Drosophila melanogaster: one gene and its partner. The protein of the gene in region 2 purifies or fractionates together with the protein of the main gene of each other region. This does not show direct contact. Each region holds a gene or a part of one and is shown on either strand. Other genes may lie near its edges.

What was found. Proteins that work in one complex are often made in the same cells at the same time.
Region 1: the proteins of wge (region 2) and mute purify together in Drosophila melanogaster (affinity purification with western blotting, with the first as the bait; one study listed by BioGRID). This does not show direct contact.

The regions. Positions count from the first base shown.
Region 1 is NT_033778.4:16,948,490-16,957,865, reverse strand, and holds the start of mute (muscle wasted), read left to right. Parts: upstream 1-2,599; 5' UTR 2,600-2,710; coding exon 2,711-3,211; intron 3,212-3,276; coding exon 3,277-3,607; intron 3,608-3,661; coding exon 3,662-4,730; intron 4,731-4,790; coding exon 4,791-5,262; intron 5,263-5,284; exon of another isoform or gene 5,285-5,364; coding exon of another isoform or gene 5,365-5,628; exon of another isoform or gene 5,629-5,714; intron 5,715-5,812; exon of another isoform or gene 5,813-6,029; intron 6,030-6,042; exon of another isoform or gene 6,043-6,115; coding exon 6,116-7,124; intron 7,125-7,191; coding exon 7,192-7,325; intron 7,326-7,385; coding exon 7,386-7,714; intron 7,715-7,775; coding exon 7,776-9,150; 3' UTR 9,151-9,376. Other genes in the region: CG6665 (uncharacterized protein), read right to left, coding at 1-299; PIG-V (phosphatidylinositol glycan anchor biosynthesis class V), read right to left, coding at 764-2,113; Ufm1 (Ubiquitin-fold modifier 1), read right to left, coding at 5,365-5,628.
Region 2 is NT_033777.3:22,717,778-22,723,982, reverse strand, and holds the start of wge (winged eye), read left to right. Parts: upstream 1-2,832; 5' UTR 2,833-3,459; coding exon 3,460-3,904; intron 3,905-3,965; coding exon 3,966-4,112; intron 4,113-6,205. Other genes in the region: Irp-1A (iron regulatory protein 1A), read left to right, coding at 1-661, 724-824, 888-1,659, 1,724-2,553.

The sequences.
Region 1 (9,376 bases), on a different chromosome or scaffold from region 2:
GGCTCCTGCGTGATTTTCTGGATGCAATCTAGGCGCCGCTCAATCTCTCTCCTTAGTGCCTTCTTGGCATCATTGCCTACCGGAACGTGGGGCCCCCGACGTCCTCGCAGCTGGAAGCGCATAATCTGCCGCTTGGCAAAGATGAACAGCATCAGGCAAGTAAGTACTCCTCCGCTGATTATGATGATTATCATCACGCCCGAAAGCTGTTCCATGTTGCCGCCCGCCTTGCTGGCCTTCTCCTGAAGACTCGGTGCGGCGTAGTCGCCTACCTTATGCAGGCGCAGATGCCCATCCATGGCGAATACTTTTTAATTCGCGGATATGAAATAATAAACAATTTTCTCAAGAAAATTCTTTGTTGTTTTGGTCAACCACCCAAGTCAGCTGATTCTGAGTGTGACCGCTTACGTTTGGAAAATACTAGAAATACATAATTATATCTTATATACCAAGTTTCAAAAACGAAGCGCAAATTTTAAACACATAATTTTGTAATGGTTAGGAAAATGTAAACTTATGTAACAGTAATACAAAACAATCATTACAATTATTTTCTAAAATGGTCAACAATTTTATTTTTTACTTTTTTGTATATGATATATGGAAATAGAAATGGGAAACCAATACTTTTGAGCGCCTCAACAATTGAATTTTGAGAACTTGGACGATTATTTACACACTAAAAAAGAAATCCATGCGGATGAACAGTCTCTTTGGCAACCAGCGAGTTATATTGCTCCTTTTACTTCAATCATTTTGCTCACGTCCACGGGTAATTATTACTGAATAGCACCGTGCCCACCAAACTATAAGTGGTGCACCATACAAAGAGAGCTCCTGCCTTCGAACGCAGTTTTAGTTGGGCCAGTGTCTTGGGCATGTGGTCAGCGGCAAACCAGTAGAAAACAGGTGTGGCCGAGGCCAGGAGGCGTGTGGACACTTGGATGTGCACGTAGACGGTGCAGACAAGGGTGAGAATCGCAGCGTGCAGCACGAAAGGGAATGTGGTGTGGTCCCTTATCAGCTCCTTGAAGCCAGAGGGCGTCAATTTGGCCCAGACCGCTTTGGCCAAATGCTGCATGTAGTCGTAGCAGTGCCAGTGCATGAAACTCAGCATGGGCAGGGCCAGCAAGAAGTTGGGCAGCTGTTTCCACTTGTAGTATCGCAGGAAGCCCACATCCCAGTAGTGCGACTGCACGTAAGTGTAGGGGAACGGCAACGTGTACTGGCACCAAGGTGATCCTTCAGAGCCCTGGCCAGACAATAGGTACTTCCGTTCCACTGCGTAGTCCACAATGTGCTGCGGATGGTTTGGCCTTGTGTTCGGCAGACAGTATAGCCTGTATATGTAGAAATAGTAGGTGTGCAGTATCCCAATGGCTCCCAGAATGGTCAGCGTCATTTGTGTCAGCTGCATGCAGGTGTTGGGCTCCTTGTTCTTGAGTAGCAGTTGGCGTCCGAAGAAGTAGAGCGGGTATCCCAAGGTGATTAATCCATTTGAGCGGCACAGTAAACAGGCGGCTAAGGCGGTTCCCAAACGCAGATATCGGAAGCTACCCGTCGGCTTCGAGCACTCCAGCATCAGATGAAGGCTGGAGTAGGCGAAAAAGGTCTCTGAGTAGGCGGCGGTGAAGAAAATGGTTGCCGGATTAAAGCAGTAGATGAGGGCCGCATTCCAGCTCTTGTTTAAATCGTTGAACAATACTTGGGTGAGCTGAAACAGCAAATTAGCTGACTCGCAGAAGAGCCAGAAGTTCAGGGCGACAGCCACCACCAGCAGGATAGATTCCTGTGATAAGGAGATCCCGATGGCCTCCACGGCCTGTCCCACGTGACGCACGACAACCGGATATAGTGGATAGAAGGCCAACGTGTTTTCGTAGCTGTACAGATTCTCGGCTATATGCAGAAAGTATTCTCCATCCCAGTGCCGTAATCCTCCCAAGCAGCGCTTAATCACCTTGTCTATCCAGGAGGCATTCTGATCTGACGAAACCGGCATCCGGAATACATCTGGTTTGTGCTCTGGCAGGGCTCCGTTGGCGACCAATTGTACCAGGAGGACGATAAGGCGACTGGCCAGCGCCAGTTTAGTCACTTTCTCTGTCATTTCAGATTTCTAGGTCTTGGGTGGAGTCGATTATCATTCGGCGGGCATGTGATTCATATCAGGTCGAGGGCATACCTCACAGCTAAAACGATGTGGACGGATCTTCTGGCCTGGACACTGCTGCGGAGGGAAAAAGGCAAATCAGCTCCTCGGTTGCTTCTTGAACTGCCTTCTCTTTTGGTGACATTTACTTTGTGAAGCGGTTTTATTATTATATATTATTTTTGGGCAGAAGCCCGGAAAAGCAGAGCATGGTGTGACCAGAGGGTTTGAGGAAGCATTAGACACTTTCGATATATTATCGATACGAGAATAATATATTTAATAAACAGAATTAAATTAATATGTAAACTTAATTCTCGTTGCTCTCGAACTATTAATTTAGTGTACAATACAGCCTTATAATTTAATTTAAAAATAAACAGTTAATACGTCACGTGAATTGCAATCGATACTATCAAACTAATATCGTTGATTGCCCCACCTCAAATCGATATGGCACATTATAGTGGCGGCATTTCCTAAATAAACTGCCGCTTTTATTTGGCAGTTGGGTTGAATTTAAGCTAAAATTTCACTCATAAATGAAGTGTCGCAATGCCGAGCAGTGCAAAGAAGTCGGACTCTGCAAAGAGCAATAGCTCGACGCCACGAAGACCGCGAAAGCGCAAACGAGTGGATCGCCAGAGCCTGGACTCGCAGGTCGATGAGGATGCCAAGGAGATCGATCGCCGGCTACGGAAAGTGGCCAAGAAGAACTCCATCAGTGCCGAGGACATGCAAAAGGTGGTCCGGAAGGTGGTGCGCAACGATCATGTTCTGGCATTAGTCACTTTGAAGGCGGAGGACGAGCTGGCGCGGGAGAAGTTGGAGTCGGCGGAGCAGCAAAAGCGGGGTGCCATCATCATAACGGACACTCCATCTGTGCCCAAGCTAACGCGAGCGAAAGCACGGGAACTGAACTGCACGCCTGGGATCTCGCTGCCCCAGCTCAATGAAACTTCCACCGACAATAATGGTATAGAGGCTCTAATACGTGAGGATTTGCACTCTGATGAGGAGGACGAGGAGTATACCTTCAAGGAGGAGGACTTTCATGTGAGTATAAACATTGAGGCCAATTGATCGTTGTTCAATAATTGTTATTATTCCTTTATTATCAGTCCGATGATGATCCTAACACTACAGCATCGGATTTCGACTCCAATCCCTGCACGCCTCAAACTCCTCTTACTGCCAATGAGGAATCTCCTATCAAATTCTCTGATGACGGTTGTTTCAAGGTGCCGTTGGACAGAAATTTTCAGGATAAAGAGGATCTTAGGATTGCCACTAGAACGCGCTCCAAATTTTGTTTGCAGCAAACTACCATTGAGGATTTGCAGTCGGAATTTGTCCCGCCGGACGTGGAGCCTAGCGATGTGGTGGAGAACGAAATGACCGCCAACGATGCGGATTGGATGCAGTTCCTCAATGACTTTACAAAGCCTTTAAGTATGTAGTATCAATGGATGCTTTTATGCTCTCCCTAACTTTAATATCTTACAGACAATACGGTCCAGGGCGACGATGATGATCCTATTAACGATCCAGAATATGTGGCCGCTGATCACTTGGAATCGGAATATGAGAACGCCGAGGAGCTGCGCGATGTAAATATATCTAAAAAAGAGTTAACTGACCTGGTCTCTGAGCTGTTTGCTGGTTTGCTGGAAGAAGGAGTCTCTCTGGAATCGATTGAATTGGAAACACCTCAAAAATTCGTTGAAAGTGCCAACGTTTCGATGATTCCCATTGATCAAGTGTCCCGTAACATCGATTTTGATGGCCAGCAGATAAATGCTAATCAGCAGGAGCTGTCCGTTTTTCAACCTAATCTAATGCCGCCTCCTTGCGAAGGGAACGAAATGGGCATGGGTGTGCCTGTCCCTGTGGCTGTGCTGCAGGAGGAAACTGGTGGATCCGCTTGCAATGTGGTAAACATACCTTCCGAGGCGCTGACTGTTCCCCCCGAACTAATAGCTGTTCCAATACCTGGGCAACCTAATTGCTTCCAAATCGCCAAAGTTGTAGGCAATGATTCAACTGTTGGTCTTCCATTAACTGAAGAGACACTGCAGAACTTTTCTAGCTTGCATCCAATGGAACCCCCCGTGGTAGCTGCAAGCAATGGAGATCGATATAAAAAACCATTTGATACGAACTTCACCTGGGAATACATCTCGGTTAGGAAACATATATATTCGGAGTATGAGGAAAAGTTTGAGAGCCTGCGAAACGTAGAGCCAGTAAACCTCAATCATCTCGCCAGGAGCAGGGGATTTACCCAGTCTCAGCATGATATGCTTCAGCAGCAGCTTCGCATTCACACGCAGTTGCTCAGTCAAAGCTATCTGCAAACCTACTCCCATCCTACGTTGTACCCCATGGCCAAGAAGCCCAGAGAAATGTTGGAAGAATTGCACAAAATGGCAACTAAAGATCCCAGTTTTAATTGCTGGAATCTGCAGGAGGCTGTTCAGCTGGTTAGAAAATGGGAACATGATCTGTCCAGTGATGAGTTTAAGGAGGAGAACGAGAAGATGATGGACTTCATCAATAAGGAAACGGATCTGACGTAAGTTGGTGAAACTTTAAACAAAACATGCTGCTGTACAACTTGTATTTACTATTTTAGTGATGGCCACACGCGCCAGGTTCCCAGGCTGGCGCCTCGTATTATGGATCTCATGCTGGATAGCCGGGTGTTTATGTATCCGCAGTACCTACCCCGTATGGCGTTTCAACCGAAACTGACTCAAACCACCGCTTACGCACCATCCGAATATCAGCTTATTGCCATTGGCCTAGAGAAGCACTTGGCATTAATGGTAAAAGCCAAGAGACAACTACGCAAAGGTGCAGATCCCATTCGCGTTGCCTGTAAGCGAATGATTAAGGATACGATTTGTGGAAAGACTGCCCGCCGAATTTTCTTGAAAATCGCGGAGCTACGCAACTCAAAACAGTACAATCCAGTGAAGTATTTCTTTGAACATCGTCGAGCACCGCCCGCTAACGCCATCCTTTGGGGATTCGCTGGTGGGCTGGTGAGAACTCCGCGGGAACGACACATGGAGCTTCCCAGTGGCTGGCAATACTACATTGAGGTAAGGAATACAATGGGTTATTATCGGATACATTGTTTAACATTTAATAAGCATCAAAAAGGGGGAAAATCTCAAAGGGTAAATAAGATGGGATTAGGAAAACTAGCTTAGTTGGTGGCCCACTCGATCTCTGGGTATGAGGCGCAGCTCGGATCCGTGCTTTAGGAACACATTACCAGCAGTCTGCTGTGGGCTGATGCCAATTCCATCGTCCGTGATGATGGCACTCGTCTCCGCCGGAACCTTGAACTCTTCAGAGGCGAATTTCAGCACAGCCGTAAAGGGAGTTCCCTCCGGAACACTAAGCACCTTAAAGGGCAGCTTGGGGTCCGAAGTTAGCGTGATTTTGAAGGTTACTTTGCTCATAGTGGAATGTGCAGACGTGGTCAGTTTTGATACTCTATGGGAATAAACGGGTTTCCGATGTTTTCCACAGGCAGAGTGTTTGAGCCCTGGTGGTTAAAGTTTAAACAAGTATAAATTAGTTGGTTTGAAAATAGTTTTAAGGGGTATTTTATTTAAAAACAATAAAATATGTTGACGCTCTTACTTTAGTGCGGTCAATATTACGATAGGCAAGGCAGCGAGTTATCGTCTGTGATGAGTAATATTTGCATAAATGTACCTATGTCCGTACCTAATTAGGAATACATGTTTAGAACTTTATTAATTTTTCTCTTAAATTTTAAGTAATATACTTGCTAGTGATTGTTGGCAGAATTATTTTACGAAATAAATCACTGGTCATCGGTGGCTAGGTACCATCGACCAAAGTTATCGATATCAATATACATAGCTTGTGCCATCGCTGTGTTTATAAATCGCGGACAATTTTCAATCTATTATTTTTCAGAAAACTTGGGATCAAAAGCGCACACGTCGCAATTTTAAAGCATCGAAAGCATCGTCGGTGGCTAGTGCTTCTTATTTGGAGTTTGTACGCGAGGCGGTCGGCGAGGACCTGCTGCTGCCAGAGACTTTTGGTCAGGCTGCGGTCCCCAATGGCAGTGCTGCTGGTTCGGAACCGCCCAAGGAGAGCAAACCGAAGAAAAGGCCAGCGCAAAGGAGACCCCGCCCTGCGGAAAACCCACCACAGCTTACCATCAATGTGAATTATGTTTTTGGCGGGAATACGAGCGCGGGAAACATACCCGGGGTCTCTGGGGTTTCGGTGCCCTTGGTGGCCGGCGGAAATCTGGCCGAGAACGTACTGAACATCAATCGCAGCTTATACACCGCCGCCGAGTGCAGTAGTCTGCTGGCCTTGCCGCCTGCTCCTCCACCATTGGATGAAAATGCTCCGCCAGCCATCAACTTCACAGTAGACAAGTTCACTAACACACTACAAATCTGCGAATTGGAGGAATCCAGCAAGGCCGTACAGCCGGATCTGTTGCCTGCGCAGGATACCCCTTCCGTCCCAGGCAGAAACGCCAAAAGGGCGCGATACCAAATCTTTAAGCCAAAGGTTCAATCCGCCAATAAATCGCGAAAAGGGTCAACACCAACCCGCAGTCGATACCATATATTGCGCGAACGTTTGCGCCATAAACTAAGCCAGCGCTGTCATTCCCTAATCACCACCTATGAATCCTACCTGCGTCATCACATCGAAAAATATAAAGACTGCGAGTTGGTACAGGTCGTGCACAATCGTTTTTTCGCCCTCGAACTGTACACTCAACTTCTGGTCGATCTGAGGATGTTCTGCAGCAATACAAACTCTAAAACGGCAGCGCAGCCAAAGAGATCTAGGAGTGATGATGAGGCGGCGAAGCTGAGAAGAGCCAACCGGCAGGAGGAGATGCTTCGCCAAATGCTCCAGCCGGATACTACAGAAGAGCGCAATCGCAAAGATGCCAGTAAGTTTTAGTTCAATCCCATTTAATGAAATTCAACTTGAATAATTTTATTATTTTGCACGTTCAGTTTTTGCCATGAATTTTTATGAAAAGGTAGAGGAGGCCTTGCTGAGTGCCAATCGCCTAGATGATTGCAAAAAATTCAACAGTATTTTGCAAAACTTCGACCCCAGGCAGGAGAAAGTTTCATCTTTGTATTTGGTATGTATCACTTAAGTGTCTTACTCTTATTGCATTCTAATTTTTTTTTGGGGTTCTTAGAAAGTGGAAGAAATTTTGCTACCCACTCATCCCGAACTGGCTGAAGTATTCCTCAACTTTTTGCTACCTGCCGAGGCCGCTGAGATGGGAAAATTCTTTGAGCACTTTATGATATGCAATGCTACCAACTTTATCAACAAACTTAACATTTACTTCAGTAAGCAGCCAGCTCAAATCAGGAAGATTTATGCCTGTCTAAACGAGTTGGCCGAAATGCCTAATGTCAGCATGAAAAAAGTTGAAAATAAGATAATGCCCTTGCTCAAGGGCAATCAATTTCTGATCGATTGGTTTGTGCAACAATTCCCACAGGGAAAACCACCAAAAAGGTAAGAATGGTAAACAAAATACTCGAGATTGATTTAATGTAACATTGTCTTTTATTTCCAGAATCCTTTCTCCTGTAGAGACCATAAATTTGCATGACGTTCAAAACAATACAACGGGAGAATATACGGAAACTATTCAAGAGTTTACAGATGTACCTACGCCAAGTAAACCAGGTTGTCACTTAAAGTATATCAATGGTCGCATATTTTATGGAGCCAAGATCCTATTGCCTGCCAAACTGTCTTTTATGGCTGCCAGTATTTACAATGAACAATCTCATGACGTGCCACCCGTCTCCAGTGACTCGATAAACTGCGCCCATGGTATTCGTGCCCAGGGAGAAAAACTTCTTAGTATGGCTTCCAATACAGATAGCGACGATGGCGCGGATCGGAGTGAGGAAGATGATGCCAGCCGCGCCTTGATTATTGATACCACGAGTGATGAGCAGAACAGCTGCTCATCTATTGAGATGTGCGATGAGACAGGCTTAAGAGCACATGCAATCAGATTGAATCCCGGCTTGTATACCAACTCAAGCTTTAACAATGCAGCGACCAGTACGCCCAATCTGGGCAACTCTCACCAATCCCATCATCCGCACGCCAAAAAAACTGCCATAAACTTTGGTGAAATATCCCCACGCAAGCAATCGGCATTTAACAACTCGGGATTGAGTCCCTTATCGGCGGCCCCCAACAGTTCCCCTCAAGTCGACAAACGAAAGTCACCTACTAAGAAGATCCGATCTCCTCTTAATCAAACTCAGAGCAGACAACGTGCCAATAATCAGCCAATGGTTGTTATCCATGAGTCTCAGCCTTCATCTTCGCCAGCCATTGAGTGTGCAAAGCGCTTGCGCACGCTGATCGATCAGGAGAGCGTGCGGGATGCAGCAGATACAAAGGCGGGCATTCGAATTATTGCGCAAGCCAAGCAGCAACCTCCAAACCAATGCAGCTCTGAAGCTATTACGAAAGTCGAGGTAGTCAGCCTGGATGAAAGTGCCGAGAATATGCCTTTCTGTACAAATCTCAAAATGGACACAGATCAATCGGAGGAGGAGCTGGAGCCACTGCAATTAAGTGCTGGCAACACACCACAGCACGTGATCACAACACAATTCGATAGCGATGAGGACTGCAAGCTGGATGTTGTGGCCACGCTGGCGAACTGCACCACCACCGAAGATAGATCGGAATCGGCAGCGGCATTACCTGCCACCACATCGCACTCTGAGTCTGGTAGTTCCCACTCGGCACCTTGGACTCGTGAAGAGGACAAAGTAATCCTGATCGAAATGAAAATAGGGGCACGGGATCGAGAGCAGCTCATTCGGCGTATGCGCGCCAAGCTAAAGAATCGCAGTATAGAAGAACTACGTAGTAGGCATCAGTTTCTTATGGACTTTCTGTCCAAATTGCAGGGAAAGTGAGGTTTCTCTAAGATGGTCTTTTGTGTATTATAATCCAAGCTGAAATAGGATACTAATAATAACTGTATATAAACGAAATGGTTTACCCCATACCTACAAACCAAACTTTTTGAAGGGAATTCTTTGTTGTACTGATTACCTATTTAAGCATACAAAAATTCCCTTCAGAATACTTAGTTTTATTATTAAAAATTTGAATATTTTGAAATCTACTGTACGTTGAAAT
Region 2 (6,205 bases):
AATCCTGAGAAAATCAATCCCATCTGCCCTGCCGACCTGGTCATCGACCATTCCGTTCAGGTGGATTTCGTTCGCTCCTCGGACGCATTGACCAAGAACGAGTCACTAGAGTTCCAGCGCAACAAGGAACGATTCACCTTCCTCAAATGGGGAGCTCGCGCTTTTGACAATATGCTAATTGTGCCACCCGGCTCTGGCATTGTGCACCAGGTTAACCTGGAGTATCTGGCCCGAGTGGTTTTCGAAAGCGACAGTTCAGCGGACGGATCTAAGATCCTTTATCCGGATAGCGTTGTGGGCACTGACTCCCACACTACAATGATCAATGGATTAGGTGTTCTCGGCTGGGGTGTTGGCGGTATCGAGGCGGAGGCCGTAATGTTGGGCCAGTCCATTTCCATGCTGTTGCCAGAGGTGATTGGCTACAGGCTGGAGGGCAAACTGGGCCCTCTGGCCACATCCACCGATCTGGTGCTGACCATTACCAAGCATTTGCGTCAGCTTGGTGTCGTCGGCAAGTTCGTGGAGTTTTACGGCCCCGGAGTGGCAGAGCTCAGCATCGCGGATCGCGCCACCATCAGCAACATGTGTCCGGAATATGGAGCCACTGTGGGTTACTTCCCAATCGATGAAAACACGCTGAGTTACATGCGCCAAACCAGTGAGTCAATCTTAAAAATTATCTAAATTTATTACTTGATATCCATGGATGTGGATCATTAGATCGCTCCGAGAAGAAAATCGATATTATCCGGAAGTATTTGAAGGCCACTCGACAACTTCGTGACTATTCCCTTGTGGATCAGGATCCCCAATACACGGAGGTAAGTGAGATTCTGTTTTTCCAATGCAAAGACATACTAACGAATCACTTTTTTACCCTGCAGTCTGTAACTTTGGACTTATCCACCGTGGTGACCTCGGTTTCGGGGCCCAAGCGACCGCACGATCGCGTTTCAGTTTCCAGCATGTGCGAAGACTTCAAGTCGTGCCTCATAAGTCCTGTCGGCTTCAAGGGATTCGCCATACCACCGAGTGCATTGGCTGCAAGTGGTGAATTCCAATGGGACGATGGGAAGAGCTATAAGATAGGTCATGGATCTGTTGTGATTGCCGCCATCACCTCGTGCACGAACACTTCGAATCCCTCGGTGATGTTGGGCGCTGGTCTGCTGGCCAAGAATGCCGTGCAGAAGGGCTTGAGTATTTTGCCGTATATCAAGACCTCATTGTCACCAGGATCTGGCGTGGTTACCTACTATCTGAGGGAATCCGGTGTGATTCCCTATCTGGAGCAGCTGGGCTTCGACATTGTGGGCTATGGCTGTATGACCTGCATTGGCAACTCGGGCCCGCTCGATGAGAACGTAGTGAACACCATCGAGAAGAACGGACTGGTTTGCTGTGGCGTCCTGTCGGGCAATCGCAATTTCGAGGGTCGCATCCATCCCAATACTAGGGCCAATTATCTGGCCAGTCCGCTGCTGGTGATTGCCTACGCGATTGCCGGCCGTGTGGATATTGATTTCGAGATCGAACCGCTGGGCGTGGATTCCAACGGCAAGGAGGTGTTCCTGCGCGATATCTGGCCAACGCGCAGTGAGATTCAGGAGGTAGAGCATAAGCACGTCATTCCCGCCATGTTCCAGGAGGTGTACAGTGAGTATAGCTAGCTGACTAAGATTTTTCCGCAGCTCTAGGCTAACTGTGTCCGCTATCACAGGCAAAATTCAACTGGGATCCAGGGACTGGCAAACGTTGGAGGTGTCGGATAGCAAGTTGTATCCATGGAGTGAAATATCAACATACATCAAACTACCACCGTTCTTCGAGGGTATGACTCGTGCGCTGCCCAAACTTAAAGGTATCGAGAAGGCTCGCTGTCTGCTGCTTCTCGGTGATTCAGTGACCACCGATCATATCTCGCCAGCCGGATCCATTGCACGAAAGTCACCGGCAGCGCGCTATTTGTCGGAAAGGGGTCTAACGCCGCGCGACTTTAATTCGTATGGATCCAGACGTGGCAATGATGCGGTGATGGCACGCGGAACCTTTGCCAACATCCGTCTGGTCAATAAACTGGCATCCAAGACGGGACCCAGCACACTGCACGTGCCCAGTGGCGAGGAGATGGACATCTTCGATGCGGCGGAACGGTATGCGAGCGAAGGAACACCTTTGGTTCTGGTCGTAGGCAAGGACTACGGCAGTGGCAGCTCACGTGATTGGGCCGCCAAGGGGCCATTTCTGCTGGGCATCAAGGCGGTGATTGCTGAATCGTACGAGCGCATTCACCGCTCAAATCTGGTGGGCATGGGCATCATTCCGCTGCAGTTCTTGCCTGGCCAGAGCGCCGATACCCTGAAACTGAGTGGCAGGGAGGTGTACAACATTGTCCTGCCCGAGGGCGAACTGAAGCCGGGCCAGAGGATTCAGGTCGATGCTGATGGCAATGTCTTTGAGACCACGTTGCGTTTCGACACCGAGGTGGACATAACGTACTACAAGAATGGCGGCATTTTGAACTATATGATACGCAAAATGCTGGATTAGTTAGTGCGTTCGTTGACTTTTATATTCCATATGCATTTCTAGGCGACTTTTAATTGTTATTATGTGCTGGGAAATAAAATTTGACATTCATCTGTGAGATGATAATTATTAAAAAAAAAATATTTCAAATATTTTATAATATTTTAAATTGCGCGCTCTGGATGTTATCGATAGCAGAAATGCCGATGGCCAAACCAGTCCTGCTAAAAATGCCTAACGCCTGCTGGTGAATCATCGACAAGGCAGCAATAAAATCGAATAGTCCCTGTTATATCGCTGTTAACTTAACATAGTTCGCTGCTTCTTTTTTTGTCCGTCCCGTGGACTTTTCTCCAGAGGATTTTGATTCCAATTCGCAAAAGAAAAACATAAATAAGCAACAGATCGTGTGTTGGCCAATAGCTCTGCAGCCAGTGCTCGATATTCACTTGGAAGAACCGCGCAAAAACGCAACAACGCAGCAGGAAAGTCGCGCCTCCGCCTCCCCACCAAAAAAAAAAAACACAAAAAAAAAGAAAAGATCTCGGATCGCACAGGGTTTTATTTTGGGCAACCGCACTTGGACTGGTGGGTGCTTCGGTTCCCTCGACCTGTGGATAGTGCCCAGTGGCGTCGCGTCGCTTTGGATTATGTCATTTGTTTATGGGGAATTGCCGCAGGCCCAGTAGCCAATGTTGCATCCGAAAGAGGCAGCGAAAACCTGTAAAAATGTAGACTGTGTGCGTGTGTGTGTGGGCCAGTGCTAGTGTGTGTCCGTGTGCCGTGTGTGTCCACGTGTGTTTGTGTGTGCGGATAATGGACGTTTAGTTTTTGGTCGAATCCGCAAGATATATAGTGAAATAGGTATAGGCTAGAGATCCCAGGGAGCGGTAGCCATACATATATGTGCACAGCCACCGCTACCCGATGGCCACGTTTAATCCTGGCGCCAGCAGCAGTGCCGCCGACGTTCTGAGCGCCACCACAGCAACGGCTACTTTTCTGGTGCCCACCACTGCGGCAGTATCGCATCCTGGTGCCCATACCGCCCATCTGCAGCTGGATCAATTCGGAGGCTTCTCCGCGGCGACGGCCACTCCCCTGCAGCACCATCACCATCAGCAGACCAACTCGTCGTACACTTTTGTGCAGATCAAGAGGGAACCCTGCCAGGTGTCCGAAATAAGCTCGAACAATTGCCACCAGCAACAGCAGCAACATCACCAACACCACCAGCACCAGGTGCAGCATCAGGGCCTGTCTTCCGCCTCGATGACCGCCTCCTCCAAGACCATGTCCTCCTCCACACTGACCACTCTCGTCAAAATAGAGGCTCCCTCGCCAAAGGTATCGGAATTGGAAAAGTCCACAGGTAGGTGACACCCAGCCACTGGTCAAGAGCACTCCTCATCGGTTAATTACGATTCTATCAGGCAACTCCGTTCCCATTGGCATCGCCGTGGCCAGGAAACGCCCGCAAGAAGCTCTGGTGCCGGCTATCAACACCCCCGCTACGCTGCCGCTGCAGCCACCACTCAACAAGGACTTGAACTGCTTCGGCATACGCGTCGCTGACCTCGGTGAGTGCCAAGCTACACAGAGAGAAATGCAGCTTCATCTCATGGAAATAATAAGTTCTTAGTGATATTCAAGGGGATGTAAACTGTTTTAAGGTATCTGCTATCTTTGAGATACCAAATGATTTACTTAAAGAATCATTAGATATTTCTAGATGCTGTTTTCCATTTGTGTTAAATGATATGTAAATTTAAGACAATCACTGTCTTGTGCCATACATTTTTTCCATCCGTGTAACTTCTGGGCATCTAATTCAATTGAGTCACCAGATTTGAGCGCCCCTAATGAACGGCGCTTCCCAAGGGACAACGTTATATGATGCTTATGATGCCAGGACGTGGACGTCGTTCAATTATGCCACTAATAAGATTGCCAACAAACGTTCAGCGCTGTGCGGAATTCCATCAGTGAGCAATGGCCGAGGGTGTCGTCTCCGCCTTAAACAACCCGCTGGAGTTTAGAGGGCAGGAATCATATGATGGCCGCCTGTTGTGCGGCTGTCGTTGTTGTGACAGCCACCGAATCGACTGGATTCGACTCAAAACGGCTCATCCCCATATCCATCCTCCCTTGCGGGCAGAAGGAAACCCGGTGGTAAATCATACGAACTTCTAAAGCGGAAGTGAAACGAAAGTGAAACACATTGCGATTTGAGAAGGGAGGCTTTGCGTCGCCTTGGCTCTGGTCGACTTGAAATTGCTCTTTAGATGGGCACATAAATATGTTTATATTTTTTTGGGGGTGTGTTTTGTCGCCGTAGCCAGTCGAATTACATTTTCCGGATTATTTTTAAAGTCTGCTAATGGTGAAATAATCAACCATGCCCATGACACGAACATGAACTTTATGATCTTGGATGGGTTACTTTTTCATATCAATCTATTTACAAAATAGTACCAGATGTGCCATAGCCTTAATCAAAGAGCAAGAGTACAGGAAACTGTGTACTTTGTTTTAATCACTACATGGAATTTCATGTTATTCTTTAAATGATAACGTCTATAAATGGTTAGAGCAATATGATGGCAGGGAAATGAATCATTACACTTAACTAAATGAATATATAATTTGTATTGCTTTGACTTTACAAAGTTGCACTTATTTTTTGTTATTTTTACCTGGAATCTCCATTTACTCATTTATTATTATCAACTCTGATAAAATTGAAGTCACAAGCTACTTTTTGCGGGGGTTTTTATTTTTATATATCTATTAAACTAGAAGTTCAACGCTGCTATAAAAATCCAATGCAAAAACAGATTGAAATTTTGTTTTTATATCTATTCTGGGTATTTCCCAGAAGTTCTCTTTTAGTAAGAAACTCTGACAGAACAGCTCATTCTCGATTGAGGGTGTTTATTTTCATGCATCAAATACGTTTTCCTTTTAGATTTTTAGAATGACTTCAGAAAATACATATTTTTAGCGGGTTCTAGTGCTTTTGAGTGCAGAAAAAAACCCTTATAAAGTAGGCGCATTACTTATGGTTCGGCAATGAGCAGAGTATCGAGGGCTTCGGCTTAGTTAGCATGCTCCAATGGAGCTGAAGCTAAAGTTCCAGTTGCGTGGGCGCCATTCAGAGGAACATCAGAGCGGGAATCCAAAGACAGATTACTCATGGACTCATGGTGCTCGGGTGGGTTGTTTTTTCAGACTTCAGACAAGGTAGCAGCGGTGGCTGTTGCTAGAAGTAGTCTGGAATCTGTGTGTGTGTGTGTGTGTGTGTGTGTGGGGGAACCAGGAACAAGTAAGGCATCACCTATAAGGGATGCTCGAGCTGGATGCTCGGATGCATGAGTGGTTCTCCGGGGATGGGAAACTAAAGGGGAACTGGGTAACAAACCGGGCGAATCATCCTCCAGGACACAGGACCTAGCAACATGACACGCCGAATTGGATTCAGTAGACGACCATATGGAAGAGTCTTCCTAACGTGCCGCTGGTTATTATTTTTTTTTTTTTTCCTTTCCTTGCCACAAGTCACATGCTATTTATAAACGTTTGCCTGGGTAGTTTCTCGGTCCGAAACAAATCACTTGTCAAAAGATGTAGCTCTAATTGCGTTTGCGGAGATGGGACACTGTCGAATACTTGT